2 linked regions of the Mus musculus genome follow. The protein of the gene in region 2 interacts with the protein of the main gene of each other region in a pairwise test. Links are inferred from orthologs where the notes say so. Each region holds a gene or a part of one and is shown on either strand. Other genes may lie near its edges.

Region 1 (10,374 bases), on a different chromosome or scaffold from region 2:
TATGCCACATCTTCTCAAACTGTAGCAGGGCCCTCTCCCATGATACCTTTCTTTCCTGAGAAATGTCAAGGTGCTTGTCGAGCCTGCAGCTGCTCTTTTCCACCCTTTGCAGAGCTGACAGCATAGATCATAGGCAATAGAGTGCTGGCCTCTTATGGGCCTTAAGATCTGGGCTGTAGCCCAGTTTCTAGCACCATTTCCCCTCGTTGTGCTGCCTGTTAAAGAACAAACACTCTGCTTCCTCTTAGGGGTCACCGTGAACCAACCAGTTTTCATGCGTGGCAAGGAGCAGGACAAGCAATCCCTGGTCGAAGGCATTGAAGATCATGACAGTGATGGTGAGTGATCAGGGAGGGGCTATGAAAGTTCACCTTCTCAGTCAGGATGCATGCTAAAGTGATAGGCAGCTCTTTTCTTGTTCAGATCAGGGTTGTGTGGAACAGAGCTCACTCTGAGGATTATGTAGAAGATCCTGTCATGCACAATTCTAAAACATTATTGTGTACATTATACTGGATAATAAGTAAATGGCCAATGTGTAACACCTTCAAAGAGAGTCAGAATATCCTGTGTCCTACCATCTTGTGAGGGGATGAGGCAGTGATGAGGCTTAGCTGACACTTCCTATCCAATCAGAAGGAGACTTCTAAAAGGGCACCTGTCATTGGTCAGATGAAAGAGAGCCAGGCTCCACTAGCTCCTCCTCCAAAAATGGGCCCACTCTCCACTCTAGCCTTCCCTAAATCAGCAAGATTCTGAGCCTTTGGAATATTTACTAACAAACAAAACCTTCTGACTTGTTACTATCTGTAGATGAATGCTTTGAAGGATCTTTTGGTGTGACACCGAGAAAACGAATGAAGGCAAGTATCACCTCTTTCCTTAGGAATGCACCCTGTTTGTCCCTCAGTTCATGTCCACATTGGTTTTTTTTTAAAAGACCTATTTATTATTATATGTAAGCACACTGTAACTGTCTTCAGACAGCCCAGAAGAGGGCATCAGATCTCATTACAGATGGTTGTGAGCCACCATTTGGTTGCTGGGATTTGAACTCAGGACCTCCGGAAGAGCAGCCAGTGCCCTTTACCACTGAGCTATCTCGCCAGCCAACTCTTTTTTTTTCCTTTTTTCCTTTCCACATTGTTGAGGACACAGTTTTCTTCTTGGTGGTGGATAAGTGTATAAATATATGTTTGATACTTAAAGTGTAAATTTTAATGTGTTGCTTCACATGCTGTTTCAAATGCCAATTTTTACTGTATCTTTCATAGAGTTATATATAGTTAATCTATATATTTAGAGTCATTGAATCTTCAGGTCTGGTTAATTTTGACATGTGATGATTTTATTTATTTGCCAGGCCCTGTTCTAAATATTATCCAGGAAATTAGAACACCCTTTATCAAGTAGCAGAAACACTCCCTATAGATTACTATTTGACAAAATGTCTTTACTCTGATTCTCTTTTATAGCTGACATCAGTGACAATAAGTATTCATAATGTAGAAGGAAGCCTTGCCTCTGTAAAGAATGATTCCAACTTGGCAGGTTGGCTGCAATCTATTTCCTATCCTTAACATATTATATTGTTTGTCAATTTGGTATTTATTTAATTCTTTGAGGATTTTATATCATTTATTTTAATCATATTCACACATACCCCACCCTTTCATCCAATGAATATAAAACATCTTTCCCAGCTGTTTTTCACCCAACATCCATACCGTTTTTATTTTAATTTTTTTATAAATAAAAAACTCAAGGCCAATTTGTGCTATCTACATACTGTGGGATGTAGAACCATCTAGTGGAGTATGGTTGCCCTACCAGGGGCCATTCATTTATCATAATCACAGTAACAGGTTTCCCAGGGGTCCTGTATAACTACAGGTTCTTGGTCAGAGTTACAATACAGGACCCGTGTTTCTTCAATTAGAGTATTTTAGTACTTAGAGAACTGATAATGAGGATTGCCTCAACTGTGCTAGATTATTGACCCAAAGAGCAGGTCCACTAGCTTGCTAATCTGTAGCCCAACTCACTGAAGTATAGTCCAGTCTTCCTTAGTTTCTGAAGCCTAGGTGATGCTCCTGTCAGTATTCTCTCACAGAGCTTGCACATTCTTTCATCCTGACACTCACTTTCCACATAGGGATCTCCAGCTGGCCTAGGCTCTGTGAAGGGCCCATACACTCTTCTGGCTACAAATGACAGGGCTTTCATAGTAGACCCCTTCCACTGTGATCAAGTTCAGGACATGTATATACCTGAAAACTTTCTGCCCCACAGTCCCAAGTTAGAGGACCCCAGGAGGCACCTGACTATGGAATGGGGGTTTCGACAGCTGCAGGGTCCAGTGTAGTGTAGAGAGAATTCTGGGAGCTGAGGTTAGTGACCAGTGAGGCCCCAGGAAAGGACTGACTGTGTGAAGGGAGGAATCCTGATAGTGCATATGTAGGTGCTTACTATTATCTGAAACTCTAGTTCCAGATTATCTGACACAGTGTTTCCTCCACAGGTATACCCACATACATCTTCCACATACACAGAGACATACAGAGAAATACAAATGTAAACATACAATAAAAGGCTTTACATTCAGTTTCTGACTTCTTTTGGTTGTACATATACTCCCTCATACATGACTCAGGAAGGTGAATGAAAGGTAGCTGAGGATTAGTGACTAATGGCACATCTTGGCATATCAACAGAAAAGGTGTAGGCACCAGCTTGCCCAGTTCCACCTGAAGTGCTCTCACCAGCATCACATGAGATACTACCTCTGGCACGAGGTTCTTTAATACCTACATCACTGTCTCCTTTCTTTCTATCCTGTCCACTGCTGCATTCACCTGCACACGTCACCACGGGGCATTTACATGCACAAACCACCACAGTGCATTCACCTGGACATGCCAGCATGGTGCGTTCACCTGCACAAGCCACCACGGTGCATTCATTTGCACTCACTACCATTGTGTGTTCATTACCTCATGCCACCATGGTGCGTTCATCTGGACGTGGCACCAAGGTGCATGCAGTGCTATCTCCTTCATTCTGTTCACGCTTTACATACTGTGCACGCAGTATACCACCAGCTTCTGTGTGCAGCCATGTATTTCATATTCCTGCCTCTCCCAGAGCCTGTGGCTTCTTCCAGCGCTTTTCTTCGCCTAATATTTGTTCCTTACTCTTAATTATATCTCTTCTGGTTGTGCAAATGACAGTGTTTTAACAATATAAAGGCAAACATTGTAGCTCTGGAACTAGGTTTACTTAGGACATTTCTTTGCCATTTGAACACATGTGTTCTTTTTTTATTTAGTTACAAAAAGTGAAATACTTTTTCAAGTGTGATTAATGCATTAAGAAAAATTCTTTAAAATCACCTGCAAAAGATCAAGCCAATAACATTCTGCCATGGAAGGAGGGGCTCACCAGCTTCTGCCCCTCTCAGAGGATATGATGGCAGTTGCCAGGTGCTAGGAAAAAGGCCAATGAGGCCCAATGCACATATAAGTAAGCCGAACTCAACTCACTGGGTCTCACTGATACCAACCAAGAGGCAATAAAAGGGAATCTAGAGGTAGGGAGGAAGGGTGTCAGTGTGACTCAAGCGAGGAATTAGGCACACACATGATTAAAATACATTATATATGCATATAAAATATAATAATGAAGTGGAACAACATATATAACTAATATATGTTAATAGAACCTTTAGAAAAATACAAGAAAAGACACTTAACCTCTAATACAATACAAACATACTACTGACTACCTGAATAAGTGCTTCAGTGTTTAAAAAACGCTGAAGAAGGTAGCACGGGAGGAATAACCCAACATGTGTTCCAGGAACAGCAGGCTCAGAGACACCAGCACAACAAAGAGAAATCCCATGCTTTGGGGACAGACAACAGGGTGGCGTTGGATGAGAAAAAAGCACAGGGGAAACAATACTCTGGTTTCCCTAGATTGTTCGAGGTGTTTGGTCTTTCTGGGTGAGGCACTCCCCCCAGCACCAGTTCAGATGTTACAATGGGCCTCTATAATCATAATTTGACTTGTCCTTCTGAAAGCCGTGTGACACTGGACAAGTTTTCTACATGCTCTGAAGCTAACCCTGAAATCTATACAATATAAGTGAATGGTCACTGGACCCTCCTCCTAATGGAGGATAAAATAGGAATTCTATATCGGGGGTTGGGATCCTGATGGGGACAAGAGAGTACACTGGACGGTATAACCCAAACTAGCCTTTGGTCTGTATTGCTGTAGGGCTGACATCTCAGTCTCATGAGCCAGCAGTAAAGGCCCAGAGGCTCATGGGAGGGCCAAGCCCTGTTCTTTTCTGATGAGAAAAGCCTTGCACTCATGCACTAACCTCTCCACATTTTAGAAACTAGTGGCATTCGGGTCAATGTTTGGAGCCACCGGCTGCGAGAGAGGAAGTATCGAGTGATATATGAAGAGATTAGTGATCCTGAAGAGGAAGAAGATGATGATTACTGAACTGGTAAGTGGTCCTCTGACACATCTCACAACACCCAGAACACACACGTTTCCCATACGGTATTAGACCCTACCCAATCATCCACTTCTAGTCCTTTGGGGTGCAAGACTGAACCAGATGTCATAAGTCATGCTTCCTTTACTGCAGTGCTGGGTAGTTTCGAGACCTTCCCTAGCCAGGATGCTATGGGCTTTTAAATCCCAGGTTATCACTCAAAGTGTAGGCCATTTCTTTCTCTGGTGAGGGAGGCCCATGCTCTAGAAGAGGGTGTGCTTGTGGGGTAGAGCTCTGAAGCTGGGCAGAAGGAGAGCATGCAGGCTCTGAAGGACAGGTGGAAACAGAGCGCTGAGTAGGTGGTGGCAACTCCCTCGCATTTCTCTTCCTTCTCTTTCTTGTCTCATCCACAGACAGTTGAAATAAGGCCACGGTGGAAGAAGGATGGAGTGGCAATTCAACATTACAGCTCCAGCTTTGAAAGACTAAATATCAGCAGTATAGATACATACATTTATTTATATATTTATTGATTATATACATTTATACCTATATTTATTTATTTATAAAAGTCTACTAGAATTCTGAGTTAAGCATGTGTCAAGTGTTTGTTCTCTTAGCAATTTTGTAGGATGTGCCAAACATTGTTAGGAGTCTTTGTCCGTCATGCCAAACATTTCCTATTGTTATTGTCACTGTGTTGAGCCCCATAGAACTGCTTTTTCTGTGCCAGGTACTCTTGAAGCATAGATCTCTGTGTACGGCAAGCATCTGGTCAGCACTGTGGGTAGTACATGCTAAGAACTCTGTTAGTATTGACTTACTGTGTGACAGCCACTCTGGCAGAATACCAATGTTTCAAGCAGGCTAAATGGCTCAGTGATAAAGGATCCTGCTGTCAGACTTGAGTTCAATCTTAAAGACCTACATGGTTGACACAGAGAACTGGCTCCCTCACAGTGTCCATTGCTATTCACAACTGAACGCATTTGTGCGTGTACACACATACACAATATCCAAGCATACAAGCACAAAATAACTCAATAAACAATGGGAAATATAATAAGCCTATCAACATTGCACTTAGCAAGGCATATACCTAATGCATATTGCTGGCTGCCTGCCCTTTACTCCTATGAGGAATCGTGTGTCAGCTATCATTGCACTGAAGCACACTGCCCTCTCCTTCCCTAGGACTGCCAAGCAGCCTTCTATTTGTCTATGATAACATGTTTCTCTGTCTTGCACACACACACATATACAAGTCATTACTAGGGACACCTGTTACCTGCCATGCTACACTAGAAATATTTCTAATTACAACTATCTCGTTTCATTGTTTGGCTAGGATACATTTCCTTCCCTGTTTGCACAAAGGTGACAAATCCAAATTCTGTGATGTGGTAAAATCTGGCTTTGCTTGACCACACTTAGGACCTTCATCTACCAAAGAGCCTGAGGCTCAATGTAGACAGATGCTCATGTCTATGGAGATCAAAAGTTATTTTTTTTAACCCTCTAGTTTTAACTTTTGGGGAGTAAGTGTAGTGTCTGATTCTAGGGATTGAACCCAGACCCTCCTGCATTATTGCGAGGGCTCACCACTGAGCTGCACAGGACTAGTTTTTATTGCTTCATTGTTGACAGAATCCTGAAAGAAAGTCAATGCAGAACGATTTCTCTGGGCTTACACTTTCTGTGGGCTCAGTTGATAGACACTTTTTCCATACATGCAGTGTATGAAGGGAGGCTGTTCTTCCCTTCATCTTGGATTAGGGTGGCCAAAAAGGAATATAGGAAAGGCTCAAGGTAGGAAACAGACTCAAGTACATGGTTCTAATGAGATAATTCCTCAATCATCCTTGTCTCCCATGTAACTACCAAGATCATGTAACATCGCCAATAGATTTGTTGGGAATTAGATGAGAGATCCCAAAACATAATTACTTTCAAAAATGTCTTCACACAGAGGAAAAGTGGAACATTTCCTACTATGTCCTAGACTTCTCTGAAACACCAAGACTATCAAAATTAACACACATACTCAGTTGTTTGTGTCATTTTCTGATGAGGTTTCACTAAATCACCCAGGCTGGCATCAAATTTGCTGTTGTCCTCTGTCAACTTCCAAGTCATCAGGATCAGAGCTCCTCTTGGGCTATAATCAATATCTTTCGCTTTATTTTTGTTCACTGATATATGTTCCATTATGCATCCCAGGCTATACTGGAACTCACTTTATAGCCCAATTGTGGTATTTGTGCCCCACCCACCCTCTTGAGTACTGGGCTTACAAGAGTAGACTACTGCACATAGTGTGATTGAATACATTCCAAGTGAGATTAACATTGACCTAGGTAGGTCCCTAGAACAGGATTTAGGAAGCAACAAGGTAAGGAAGACAGTAGGGTCATCATAAGGAAAGTGTTGTAAGCAGTAATCACCAATCTCACAATAACTAATACTCCTTGGGGGCTGGAGAGATGGCTTAGTGGTTAAAGTGCTGACTGCTCTTCCAGAGGTCCTGAGTTCAAATCCCAGCCACCACATGTTGGCTCACAACCATCTGTAATGGGACCTGATGCCCTCTCCTGGTGTGTATGAAGACAACAACAGTGTCTTCATATACATTGAGATAAATAATAATTGTTTAAAAGATACTTCTCTGTAGCCTAGGATATGGTTTCTAGTGAAGACTGACTAACATATACAACAGGCCTAGGGGACAACGTATCACTCTAGAAAAATAAGTTACACCGGCAGAAATTTAGGATTTTATATGAACAGGAATAGATGATAATGTAGATACTTAACAGAGCCTAAGGGAGTTCTCACATATGTGGAACTAGAGCCAAGTCCAAAGTCAGAGCTGAATGGCAGCAAAGGTAGAAGAGCTTACGGAATAGAAGAATTAAGGCTTATATCTGAAGGACATAGATAGTACAAATGAGACCTAGGGTCCTGGACCACTGCAGGCAAGGGACACATAAACTGTGTTGGTATGATAAATGTTTCAGTCAGGTTTAGAATTATTATTAGTGTTCCATTGTCGATGCTATGATGTAATCTATGTCATATGCCCATTTCACATAGCACTCATATGTAGGAGCCATAATGTCCCATGTAACTCTCCTAGGGATGATGGAGGTAATGTATGTTCCTATGCATATGGCTCTGATGAACAGAACTATAGAGAGGGAAGAGACAAGAGGCCTCTGCTTCACCACTATGTGAGGATGCAGAGAGGTTTCAGAGGCGCTGATAAATGGATGTGTTCAACAAAACAAACCAAATGCAGAAAGAGACGGTTCAAGGTTAACTTCAAATGAGTAACCATGGTTAAATTTGTGTCTTGTGTAATTTTGTATTGGGTGGGGCATGAAATTGGAAAGGGTATCATAAATGGGAGGTGGAATCCTTAAAGAGGTAGAAAGAGTCACTTTGTGTACAGAGACCAGGAAAGTAGTAACAGGGACAATCAGGGAGAAAGAAGGAAACTAGCAAGATGGGGATAGGGGTGAGAATGGGTATGGGAATATGTCATCATGAAACTCATTACGTTATATGCTTCCTTAAAAACATCAAAGAAATAGATTCTTTTTTTTTTTCGAGGCAGGGTTTCTCTGTATAGCTATGGCTGTCCTGGAACTCACTTTGTAGACCAGGCTGGCCTCGAACTCAGAAATCCACCTGCCTCTGCCTCCCAAGTGCTGGGATTAAAGGCGTGCGCCACCACGCCCGGATAAGAAATAGATTCTTTTTTTCCCCATTTTTTATTAGGTATTTAGCTCATTTACATTTCCAATGCTATACCAAGAGTCCCCCATACCCACCCACCCCCACTCCCCTACCCACTCACTCAGCCTTTTTGGTCCTGGTGTTCCCCTGTACTGGGACATATAAAGTTTGAGTGTCCAATGGGCCTCTCTTTCCAGTGATGGCCGATTAGGCCATCTTTTGATACATATGCAGCTAGAGTCAAGAGCTCCGGGGTACTGGTTAGTTCATAATGTTGTTCCACTTATAGGGTTGCAGATCCCTTTAGCTCCTTGGGGGGGTTGGGGATTTAGCTCAGTGGTAGAGTGCTTGCCTAGCAAGCACAAGGTCCTGGGTTCGGTCCTCAGCTCTGGAAAAAAAAAAAAAAAAGAATCTTAGTCCTTTAGCTCCTTGGGTACTTTCTCTAGCTCCTCCATTGGGAGCCCTGTGATCCATCCATTAGCTGACTGTGAGCCTCCACTTCTGTGTTTGCTAGGCCCCGGCATAGTCTCACAAGAGACAGCTACATCTGGGTCCTTTCGATAAATCTTGCTAGTGTATGCAATGGTGTCAGCGTTTGGATGCTGATTATGGGGTGGATCCTTGGATATGGCAGTCTCTACATGGTCCATCCTTTCATCTCAGCTCCAAACTTTGTCTCTGTAACTCCTTCCATGGGTGTTTTGTTCCCACTTCTAAGGAGGGGCATAGTGTCCACACTTCAGTCTTCATTTTTCTTGAGTTTAATGTGTTTAGGAAACTGTATCTTACATCTTGGGTATCCTAGGTTTTGGGCTAATATCCACTTATCAGTGAGTACATATTGTGTGAGTTCCTTTGTGAATGTGTTACCTCACTCAGGATGATGCCCTCCAGGTCCATCCATTTGGCTAGGAATTTCATAAATTCATTCTTTTTAATAGCTGAGTAGTACTCCATTGTGTAGATGTACCACATTTTCTGTATCCATTCCTCTGTTGAGGGGCATCTGGGTTCTTTCCAGCTTCTGGCTATTATAAATAAGGCTGCTATGAACATAGTGGAGCATGTGTCCTTCTTACCAGTTGGGGCATCTTCTGGATATATGCCCAGGAGAGGTATTGCTGGATCCTCCGGTAGTACTATGTCCAAATTTCTGAGGAACCGCCAGACTGATTTCCAGAGTGGTTGTACAAGCCTGCATTCCCACCAACAATGGAGGAGTGTTCCTCTTTCTCCACATCCACGCCAGCATCTGCTGTCACCTGAATTTTTGATCTTAGCCATTCTGACTGGTGTGAGGTGGAAACTCAGGGTTGTTTTGATTTGCATTTCCCTGATGATTAAGGATGTTGAACATTTTTTCAGGTGCTTCTCTGCCATTCGGTATTCCTCAGGTGAGAATTCTTTGTTCAGTTCTGAGCCCCATTTTTTAATGGGGTTATTTGATTTTCTGAAGTCCACCTTCTTGAGTTCCTTATATATGTTGGATATTAGTCCCCTATCTGATTTAGGATAGGTAAAGATCCTTTCCCAATCTGTTGGTGGTCTTTTTGTCTTATTGACGGTGTCTTTTGCCTTGCAGAAACTTTGGAGTTTCATTAGGTCCCATTTGTCAATTCTCGATCTTACAGCACAAGCCATTGCTGTTCTTTTTTTTTCCATTTTTTATTAGGTATTTAGCTCATTTACATTTCCAATGCTATACCAAAAGTCCCCCATACCCACCCACCCCCACTCCCCTACCCACCCACTTCCCCTTTTTGACCCTGGCGTTCTCCTGTACTGGGGCATATAAAGTTTGAGTGTCCAATGGGCCTCTCTTTCCAGTGATGGCCGATTAGGCCATCTTTTGATACATATGCAGCTAGAGTCAAGAGCTCCGGGGTACTGGTTAGTTCATAATGTTGTTTCACCTATAGGGTTGCAGATCCCTTTAGCTCCTTGGGTACTTTCTCTAGCTCCTCCATTGGGAGCCCTGTGATCCATCCATTAGCTGACTGTGAGCATCCACTTCTGTGTTTGCTAGGCCCCGGCATAGTCTCACAAGAGACAGCTACATCTGGGTCCTTTCGATAAAATCTTGCTAGTGTATGCAATGGTGTCAGCGTTTGGATGCTGATTATGGG
Region 2 (10,918 bases):
TAACAATTAAAAATGTCTTTAGATACTGCAGAATGACTTTTGGGGATAAAATTACTCCAAGGCTAGAAGTACTGGTTGCACCAAGGAGGTGACTCACAGGGTGATATACTAGCTATGCAGGCTCAGGATCTGGGTTAGAGTTCCCGGAGCCTCAGAAAGCCGGATGCTGTACAGAGCATACCAATGCTCCTCCAGCAAGAAGCAGAGCACAGCTGGTCTGTCTTACCCAGTGCTGAATGAAACAGGGACCATCTCAAACAAAGTGCTTCCAGTGAGGACAGTCCTTTGATGTTTGTCCTCTGACCTCTACACACATACCATGGCATCAGTACAAATGGACACACACACACACGTCATACATACAAACACACCATGCATGCATTCGCACAAAGGCTAAAATAAAAGAAGTCTAGTCTATATTACCTTACCTCTAAACTATAAATCCAAATTATTTATCCAATTAAACAGTTTATATAGATCACATTATTTATTAAGCAATTATTGCAAGGCAAATGGAGCATAAAAACTGAAAGTTAGGTGCTGATTGTAGAGAAATAAGTGAAATGTGCCACTTCGGACTTGAATAATACGCCACGGAGAAAAGAGAAGACATCAGAAAAGTAGCATCAAAATGTGGTGTAAATGCACAAGTACCTCAGCGGATCCCAAGGGTGACTTTAAAATTGAGTTTGACAAGAAGGAAGCAGACAAGGTGAGGAGAACATATACCGCATGGAAATGCATGTCATTGTGTGGGCATAGGCCCGATTGTACACAAATGCTTTATGCGGAAGCAGTACACAGTCGGGATCCAGGAAAATCTTAGCACTGTGGACAGGAGACATCCCGGAAATATCGAAACAGAGAGAAAAAGCATTACAGAAAGGAGATCTAAGCCAGGTTCAGTCGCACATGACTATAAACCCAGGTCTGAGAGGACTATAGCAAGTTCTAGGCCAGCCTAAAACACAGCAAGTATTTGAATCACTCCCACTCACACACACACACACACACACACACACACAGTCCGTTACGTGCCTCTTACTGGAGAAGTGCCCACCGAGAAACATTCTCCACCTTGACCCTCGGCTGTATTTAATACAGTGATCAGGAGATGAGTCAAAATCTTAGAGATTAAAATGTGAGGATGTGAAGTAGTTCTGTGATACTCTTCTCCTTGCTATGAGGAAGCACCTCAGAGGAGCCACTGAAGAGAATAAGGCTCATCTGAACTGTCCACTGTCAAGATAGGTCTTCCCACCTCTGTTCAATTTTCCTTAAAAAAAAAAAAAAAAAACCTTTACAGACAAACCCAGGAATTCTAAATCCTGAGAAGTTGACAGTTGAGATTAACTATTACTGTAACTTAGTAATGTTTTAAAGTCTCATTTTTTTTTAATATTTGAGAACATTAAATCACTAGGGTTATATAATTTCAAAACTGAAACGTGATTTGAAATTCTGTTTATCGTATCTCATTACCTTCATAGCGAGCAGGAAATAGTTACAATTCTGTATGACATTGGTCGCGAGCTTTGGATTTCTGTAATTTCATGACTCTTCTGGTTTCCTGTCAGTTCTTCTTCCTATAGCTTAGTTTATTCCCATGGCTCATTAAGTTGTGCTGCTTCTGCCATGGTGACAAATGAATCTAGAAGTAAATCATTTTAAAGGAGAGTGTATGCAATAGGATTCCCCAAGGAGAGCTAAACAGTGGAGTCCTGGTGTCCGTGTAGAGTAGGGCACTATGAAACAAGAAGGCAGTGTCTCTCGGTGTTTGCCAACGTCCATATGCTGAGAGCGTAGGCTCCACACTTTACTCTCTACTCTCCCTATTGTGGGCTCATATAGGAAAATTTCCTTACAAGTATAAACATTTTAACTTTTAAAGTTCATAATGAATATGTAGTTCCCATAAAATAAAATAGACCTTACAGTTAATATTTACCTAAAATTCACTATACAGTTAGTAATGGAATATTAGTATATGGTCAGTGGGATGTAAACTACAAAGTAAGGGGAAAGCACATTCATTAAGTTATGAAGAGTACATGAGTAGGGTTATGAGACACACTCGCAGAGAAAACATCAAAATTTAAATTGTAACTTCCCCTTAAGCCCTATGACCTGTCTAGTGTGGGTTTTGTTTGGTTGGTTGGTTTTGGTTTTGTTGTTGTTTTCTCGAGACAGAGTTTCTCTGTGTAGCCCTGACTGTCCTGGAACTCACTCTGTAGACCAGGCTAGCCTCAAACTCAGAAATCTGCCTGCCTCTGCCTCCCGAGTGCTGGGATTAAGCTACTGTGGGCTTTTTAAATTAAGACTTATTTATTATGGAGTGCTCTCCTGCATATACATTTGCAGGCCAGAAGAGGGCATCAGAACTCATTACAGATGGTTGTGAACCAGCATGTGGTTGCCGGGAGTCGAACTCAGGACCTCTGGAAGAGCAACTGAGGCTCTTAACCACTGAGCCATCTCTCAGCCCTGTCATGGGCTTTTGAGTGAATTTATAATACCAACACCAGGTGTGGATTCCTTCCTGTGAAGCAATTCTCTACTCCAGTCAGAGACCTATTACTTGCCTTCATAAGATTTGTGCCATTATTGCACAAGTGTGCACATCTTGCCTGGCAAGTTGATAGTGCCATTCATAGGGCTCACAGCTAGGTCCACTGACACCTCCCTTCTTTCTTCCTCAGCTGACCACACAGGACCTTCCTACACTGTAAAAGCTTTCTAGCAAGGACAATTCTTCTAGCTTAGTTCTAGCATCATTTTTCTATATCATACCACCACAGTAGGTGGTATATTCATCTATAAAGTTGGTATATTCTTATCTTGTAGTCATGGTAGGCAAACAAAAAAATGGCAAGAGCCATATATAATTATAAGAGAGTAGCTTTCCCGTGGATTTTTCATATAGCCTTCCTTTTCATTAACCTGGCGCCTCCTGTTTCCTACCCTGCCACCTCCTCCCTGTGTAAACCTCTCTATCCCCAGTATTACATCCTCTACATTCATAACACCTGTGCTTAACGTCCTCTCTCCCTTAAAGTGATGGTTTGTATATGCTTGGCCCAGGGAGTGGCCCTATTGGGAGGTGTGGAATTGATGGAGTAGGTGTGTCACTGTGGGTATGGGCTTAAGACCCTCTTCCTAGTGGCCTGGAAGCCAGTCTTTCACTAGCAGCCTTCAGATGAAGATGTAGAACTCTCAGCTCCTTCTGCACCATGCCTGCCTGGATGCTGCCATGTTCCCGCCTTGATGATATTAAACTGAACCTCTGAACCTGTAAGCCAGCCCCAATTAAATGTTCTTTATAAAACTTGCTCTCATCATGTTGTCTGTTCACAGCAGTAAAACCCGAACACAGTATCTTTCTCCCAATAGCTTCTTTCATAGACTACTGGTGTCTGTAGGAACGCTTTATGTTGAAAACACAAAATGAGAGATTCAAACAGAGGGTCACATACAGTATTATTTATTCCTGTGCCTGGGTTACCTCACTTAGTATAATTTTTTTTCCAATTTCATCCACTTACCTGTCAATCTCATCCATTGTGTATATGTACCACATTTTTCATTATCCACTCATCAATTGATGAGCATCTTGACTCATTCCATTTCCTAGTTATTGTAAATACAGTAGCAATAAGTATGGATGAACAGGTATTTCAGTAGTAGGCTATAAATTTTTGGGGCGGTACACCCACTCAGAGGAGAAGGGGTATGGGAATAGGGAGAGGACTGTGGGAAGGGGTGACCGTGAAATGGACAGTGAGTGGGATGTAAAGTGAATAAGAAAAATATAATACAATAAACTTTTAAAAAATAATTGGGGTGGGGAATATGTCCAACAGAGGAATAATCCTGTGGTAGTTTCCACAAATTTCCATAGTGGCTTCATGAGTCTTGTAATCACACTAATAATGAATTTAGTTCTATTGTTTAGCTACACTGACATATGCTCAAACTGCCTTCTAAATTGTGTGTGTTTGTTTGTGCGCATGTGTGTGTGCTTATACACAAAGATAACTACAACCTTTATCAGAGATACTCTTTCCAGTGAATTGTGGTGCTTACAGAGACTTAGGGCTACACAAGTACAGGAATAGGTGTCAGCTGAGTGTTCAGCCCTACACAAGGCATTTAATATCATCCCCTCCTAGGTTCAGGGGGCATTGCAAGAGAGGAGAGAGAACAAATGTAAAGGCCAGAGAAAAGGGCTGCAAAATGCTCTAATGCCAAAGGCCAAATTCTGAATACTACAGGGCCTTTATAATTACAACCTCTCGACAAACACAGGTGACCACTCCAAATCTGCACAAGGACTGCTGATGGCCACTCACTCTGAACTGTCTCCTACTGATAGAGAGGAAGAGAGAAGTCTTTGCCTTCCATTGTATACCCACAGCAGATTCCACCAGGTGGCCCTGATTAAACTAAGTGGATCACCAAACCAAACCAAATTCAAAGTCTTGCATCTGAGAAAGGGACTGGCAGGTGAAAATTAGGTTGATAAGAGAGGAAGATAAGAGAAGGTGCGGGGGTGGGGGGGGGGGAGAGTAACCAGAATACATTATATGTTGGATGTAGTTACCAAAGGACTAACAATAAACAATTTAAATTTGGAGAGTCTCAAAGGTTTGTGTGCAGAAGCAGAGTTTAGACTGAAATCTCCCCAGTGAGTAGGAGTTTGTCACAGAGGGAAAGTGGTGCAAATGCAGTGGGCAGGAAAAGCTTTCTGTTTAAGAAACTGGTTGAAGGTCGAAAAGCCAGTGAAGAGCTATGGCAAGCACGGAGTAAGTGTTCAAACACAGGGGCTAGGAGTGTGGCTGTGGGTTCAAATGCAGGCTCGGCTAGGGGGTACTGCTGGGGTGATGGGATTATTTAAATTCCCTGCCTCTCTCTGTTTCAGTTTCTTCACTCATAAAACAAAGACAGTGAATGAAACTATTCAAAAAGGTTGTTTGCAGGTTCAGTGAGTTAAAATATATAATTTGTTATTTTTAGGGATTTTTTTTTTCCCAGAGTGCATGAGATGCCCCTGCAGGGTGTTAAGTGATACCACTTAAAGGCAGTCCAGCCACTGGCCCAACTTGGGATCCATCTCAAGGGGAGGCTCCAAGGTCTCACTATTACTGATGCTATGGTGTGCTTACAGACAGGATCCTAGCATGGCTGTGCTCCCAGAGGCCCAACAAGTAGCAGACTGAGACAGAGCCAGATCCAATCAATGGACAGAAGCTGGGGACCCCTGTGGTTGAATTAGGGAAAGACTGGAAGAAGCTGAGGAGTCGGGCAACCCCATGGGAAAACCAGCTGTCTCCAGAGACCTGAGGCCCCAGGGAGTAGGGAGTTCTGGAAGTATGGGGGCGGGGGGGGGGGGGGAGTGGTGACATCCTCTTGAAGACAGGGGGGCAGAGGAATGGGATGAGGAACTGTGGGAGGGAGGACAAGGAGGGGGATAACAACTGGACTGTAAAAAAAATAAAAGTAATTTAAAAAAAAATCACTAATTCCTACTGTTTGGTACTGTAGACTGTAGCTGGATAACATCCTGATGGAAGGGGAATCTTTGGGAGACAACCTGAATAATGAGTAGCCTCTGTGCTGGGATGTAAAGGGAGTCACATATCTCTCTGCACTTCATTGTAATTTTACACGGGATAACCAACTGACCAGAGTTTAGCACCATTCTCTATTGTTGGGGATTAATTTAAATCCTGAAATGATTTCTTTTGATATGTTAACTGTCTTGGTTTCTATGCGATACCTACCCCATATTGAGGACACTGTAGAGGCTTTTCTGTAACTTGAAAAGAAGAAATAGATAATCACACTCATCTGAACAGTTTTAGATGAAGCATCAGGCTAGTATTAGGCCAGTACTGAAGTTCTCCAACTAGCTTTTTTGCGGCTTTAAGAATTATATTGCTTTCATTCATATTCTCAACTTGTGTTATATAGCTCAGTGGTTGCACTTCCAACACTTCTGGCGACATTTCCTTTGTATTCATATACCAGAATGATTTTATTTAATAAAAAAAGAACATCTCCTATGTGGATTTTAAATTTCCCTTATTAAATATTTATATTTTCAAAATGTCTTTATTTAATTGAGTGAGGTGCTTGGTGCCATTTCAAAATAACCTCAGGTGGTGGGTGTAATGACATATCAAAGATCTGACCTTTAGCATTTTAGGATTCTATTTGTCTGCATTTTCTTCTGCATTCATTTCGTCTTAATTTATATGCTCTTTCTCCATATCACTTAATGAGTAGATGTATTTATCATAAGGTTCATTAGCCATAAAGATAGGTATCTGGATGCACATCCTCTGACTGGTGACTTTACATCATTCATCCTTCCACTGTGGCAGGTGGAAGGGTCTGTGTGTGAGGCTGCTGGGTATTTGCACAAACCTCGTCCATTCTCACTTAGTACTTCGATAGGCCCTAGATCTCCTAGACCGATGTCCATTCTCCTCCCCTGTCTTTGCAGTCAGCTTATTATACTTTTATTTACCTAGAAATACTTTATTTTCCAGTTCTGTGCTATCCCTTTAAAAGAAAATTGAATGTAATATTTACACTGACATAATTAAATTAACATTTTACAGCATCTTTCTGTGTGCTTTGATAGCATAGATAATCAGTTGTCTGCATTGCTCCTGGCCTAGTAGCAGAGTTACAGAACAATGATCAATTATAATAATACGTTATAAAAGCTATTTACATTTGCCCATTTAGGTATTCTATATTGATTTTTAGAAGAGGGGTTTCACATGAAGATTTTTTTTATTAAACAAATCATTGAACTTTTAGCCTACATTATTTATATTTGTATTTTTACATTTTCTCAGCTTGCACAAATCATTATCTCAAGAAGAAAGCCTGAAGGATCAGTTTAACCATGCCCTTAGTACCTATGAAGAAGCCTTAAAAAACAGAGAGAGCGTTGTCTCCATCACTCAGCAACAGAATGAAGAACTGGCCACCCAACTTCAGCAGGCTCTCACTGAGCACTCTCACATGGAATTACAGCTTCAGTGTGCTGTGGAGGCCTCCCAGGCAGCCAACGAAAAGGTTCAGAAGTAAGTAACCGATCCAGCCCTGACCCTAAAGGCATGAAACGTTAGAGAAAAGAAAAGGAAAAAAAAAAAAAAAAAAAAAAACTTTCCTTGGGAAACCCAACAGTCCACATAGTTTTTCTTGTTTGTATACTTACTAATGCTCTCAGGAAAAAGTAGCCAAAATGAACTTTTTAAGCTGACATTTCACTTCCTTTTTCAATAGAAAAAATTATTTGCTTGGCCCTTATTGTTACCCTATGATTTGGGACAGGTTGTATATACTAAATGCCCCGGATCAGCTCGTGGATTCTGCGGTGCTTAAATCCTTCCCCAGTGTTATTTGCAAAGGGGAGGGGCAGTCAAGTAACCAGCAGCTGCTCTCACTGAGCCTCACTGTCAGGGCCCTGGAGAAGAGATCTCCTGTGACCTTGTTCACTGAGCCTCTAGCTGCACTCAACCCAGTACACAGAAATTAATTTTCTTGTGTTGTTCTTTAGAAGTATGCGATGCAGCTTTCAGAGTGCATAATTATATTTGTTTATTTTGACAGTTCTTTGCATTTTTATTAAAATTTAAACAAAGCTGCATAATCAGTCCGTCCTTACAACAGTGCACAGAATGTTAACAATTTCCCAAGCAAAGATGTCCGTTATTAATTTATGGAACTTGAACACTGTAGCAGCATTTTCTGAAGAAGTTTGTTATGGAATACGGCGTGTCGTCCTAACCTTCTTTTGTACGAGTAACAGCAGCACGGCAGCATTCACAAACTGTATCACCTCTAGTTGCCAACACAGCATCTTTATCTTTTCTCTTTCAGACTCTGAGTATTAGGTTGTATGCCCAAGGACCGTTACTCCCTTGACTTCCTAGGTGAAATCAGTCATCTCAGCCGTTTCCCCATCATCTCTGCAACTGTATTTAAATTGATAGACCAGACTCAGGGGAATCGAGGCAAAGGCATTTTGGAATAATTCAGGGGTTACACACTTTAATCTTTACTGCCATTGTACCTTGAAACTTTTGATTAAGTCCTGTTAATTATCTGTTTTAAGATTGGGTACAAATTCATTTGGAAACTACATCTGGTTATTTGCAATGTGCATTAACAAACTAAAAATGCTGTGATATATAAATTGTATTGTAAATCACAGCAACTTGGACAGTTGTGATTTACTCCTGTTTGTACCGTCTACAAATAATTTTAAATGTCAAAGTTTATATGTAAGTACTTCATTGCTATGTGACTAAAATTCCCTAAAATAAGGGTTTCTTGAGACCAGTTAGTTTTCAAAATGTTGGAGATGTCAATATTTATCTTGCCAGTTAGCATTATCATGTTTTAAAAGAAAGATCTTTCGTATCCCAGGGAGTGGAAAGATTGTTGTCTCGGGAAATTAGTAAATTGGGTAGTTTTAGCTATTAAGCAAACTTTTATCATCTTTATTTTGCACGTTTAACCACAAACAAAATCTTTTTAGTGGAATACTACCAATCTGGGGATCGGTTTAAGTACAACATGTCATTTATAAAAGTTAAGTGTTGAAATTGCTTCTCCACTCTTTCATTCTGGTTTCCAAGAAGACCCACGTGAGCTATTTCTTTTACGTCTTCTATTTGTTTTGTTAGCCACAAATTAGGTAGTAGTGTGCATCTTCATCGTGGTTATATGAACATCAGCCTGTGCATTCTCCGGAATTTTTAGGGAGATTATCCTCTGAAAAGACAATAAATAAAACTTGGTAAGATAGGCTAAGTATGCTCTATAGTGTCTGACTTTTCATTGTAGTAATTCTTTGAAAGTATGTAAATACTTTATAAAATCAAATGAGAGAGATCTCTTCTCTCTTCACAGCCAAATCTTGAGTAGATGATCAATAATAATCTTTAATTTTTTAATATCTACCTATTCCTCTGCTCTTTATTACATTGTTGGCAACTGGCTGAAACTGTTCTTTATAAGATTCAAAGTAATTTCCTAATTCCAAGGTCCATGGTACATATTAACCATGTTCTTATATTATAACTGAAAAATAATTATGATAAAAATAAAGATGTGCATATATGATTAATATAACATGATAATTTGAAAACTTAGGCTTTGGGTTACAATGCGTAGGTAGGTACTTGGAGTTTGTTTTGAAACTTCATGCTGATATTCACAGTGACATGCCTTCCTCACAAATGTAGGAACTCAATGAAATAGACATGCAAAGCTGTTGACCAATGATGCTTCATATTATTTCCTCCTGTTATCTTTCTCCCTACTGCACTGCCTGTCTCTTTCCTCAGAAGCGCTCTGCCTTTTCAAGACTAAATGCCTCTGCAAATGTTGACCTCCCTACTTAGAGCCTTCTGCCCTCCCTGCCAGCCTCCTGGAGAACATTGTTCATTCTATGAGAGTCAGTGCAGCACTGGGCATAGAAAAAAAATGGGGTCAGTGCTTAAGTCAAATAGTTTTGGATTTCAATACCTGCTTTCCTACTAATTGCCTAGGAAATTTGAGGCACATTTTTTTATCCCATAAGAAAAGTTCCTAGATCAGGCTAGACAGTAAATCTGGCTTTGCAGGCTGACTTCTTGTAAAGAATAACTTGTATAACATATAATTACTGAGTGTAAGACTATTAGAAATATTCTAAAACACTACATTATTAATAACATCATATCTGTCAATATAATATGACCAATTCAACTGCATCTTCTCTACAAAGCTGTCTTTATCTTCCTAGAAAGAAAAATATCTCTAGTCTCTTTATTATTATAGTATTTAGGGTTTTTAAAAGTACATTAGAAGATCTTGCTATCAACAATATGCCCCAGATATCATTATTGGTATATATGTATATGTTTATGTGTCTTTCTAGCTAGACTATATATTGTTTAAACATGTAAGTCCTAAAACTGTACACAATGCATCTTACCTACTGAGTACCAAATGAAGGTTTAAAACCTTAGAAATACATAAATATGGATATATGGCTATATGCTTATATAATATTATCTTAGGACTTATTAATATTAGTAAGCACTGCATTTACACAGTCAATTCTTAGATTATTTGTAGCATTTGAACTCTTTTTATCTTTAATATCATACTATTCCTTCCTGATGTCATTGGAACAGGATTGGATAACTCCATTTTCTTTTTCTGATGCTACTCCACCTGTTTCTACTCCTTTTGGGAAATATTTCTGCTTTAAACCTAAATAATGGTTTATTTAAAGATTAGCTCTATGAAATTCGCCAGAAACACATGTGTTTATATAACTTCAGCCACTGCCACCCACTCAGAAAACTTCCGAGTCAGTGTGGCAGTGCTCCCCTCCCCTCTGGAGGTCCACCCGTGTGCCCGGAACACTGTGTCCTCTTCTGCCAGTCAGGTCTTGCCCACTCTCCTTGGTTTCCCATGTCAGTTGCTGGACTTGAGCAACTTCAGCGCTGCCCCTGGTTTTCCGTTTTACCCTTTGCATTCCTGTTGGCTCCAGTTTCTACCACTGCCTAAGTCTCTCAATTCCCTCTACTCCGCCTTGATGAAGTCCACTCCTCCTCATTCCTTGATCCAGACCATGGCAATAGCCCCTCCCTTTCTGCCATCACAATGAGCTGCTCTAAAGCATACATAAGGTAATATTGTTTTCCTATTAAGAGTTCCTCAGGTATCCTTCTCTCCCAACAGGTTCAACCTCAAACAACTTAGCATGACATCTGAAGCCGGATGCAGGCCCTCCCTCCTTGTTCCACTGTCATTTCCTCCTGCGACAACACATTTTACATATGCTTCAGGGAGCTTCCTAAAATGAATGCCTTCTGCTGCTCTAGGTGAAACTTTGGTTACTCTC

The links. The genes of interacting proteins can lie anywhere in the genome.
Region 1: the proteins of Mipol1 (region 2) and Ssxb9 interact in binary tests that used the Homo sapiens proteins (3 or more experiments, as listed by UniProt). The two-hybrid records come from large-scale screens. The link is inferred for Mus musculus from reciprocal best matches to the Homo sapiens genes MIPOL1 and SSX3.

The regions. Positions count from the first base shown.
Region 1 is NC_000086.7:8,370,288-8,380,661, forward strand, and holds the end of Ssxb9 (synovial sarcoma, X member B, breakpoint 9), read left to right. Parts: intron 1-248; coding exon 249-338; intron 339-813; coding exon 814-863; intron 864-1,475; coding exon 1,476-1,551; intron 1,552-4,402; coding exon 4,403-4,515; 3' UTR 4,516-4,519; exon of another isoform or gene 4,520-4,546; intron 4,547-4,923; 3' UTR 4,924-5,101; downstream 5,102-10,374. UniProt on the Homo sapiens protein: Could act as a modulator of transcription.
Region 2 is NC_000078.6:57,450,087-57,461,004, forward strand, and holds the end of Mipol1 (mirror-image polydactyly gene 1 protein homolog), read left to right. Parts: exon of another isoform or gene 1-290; intron 291-6,866; coding exon 6,867-7,101; 3' UTR 7,102-7,155; downstream 7,156-10,918.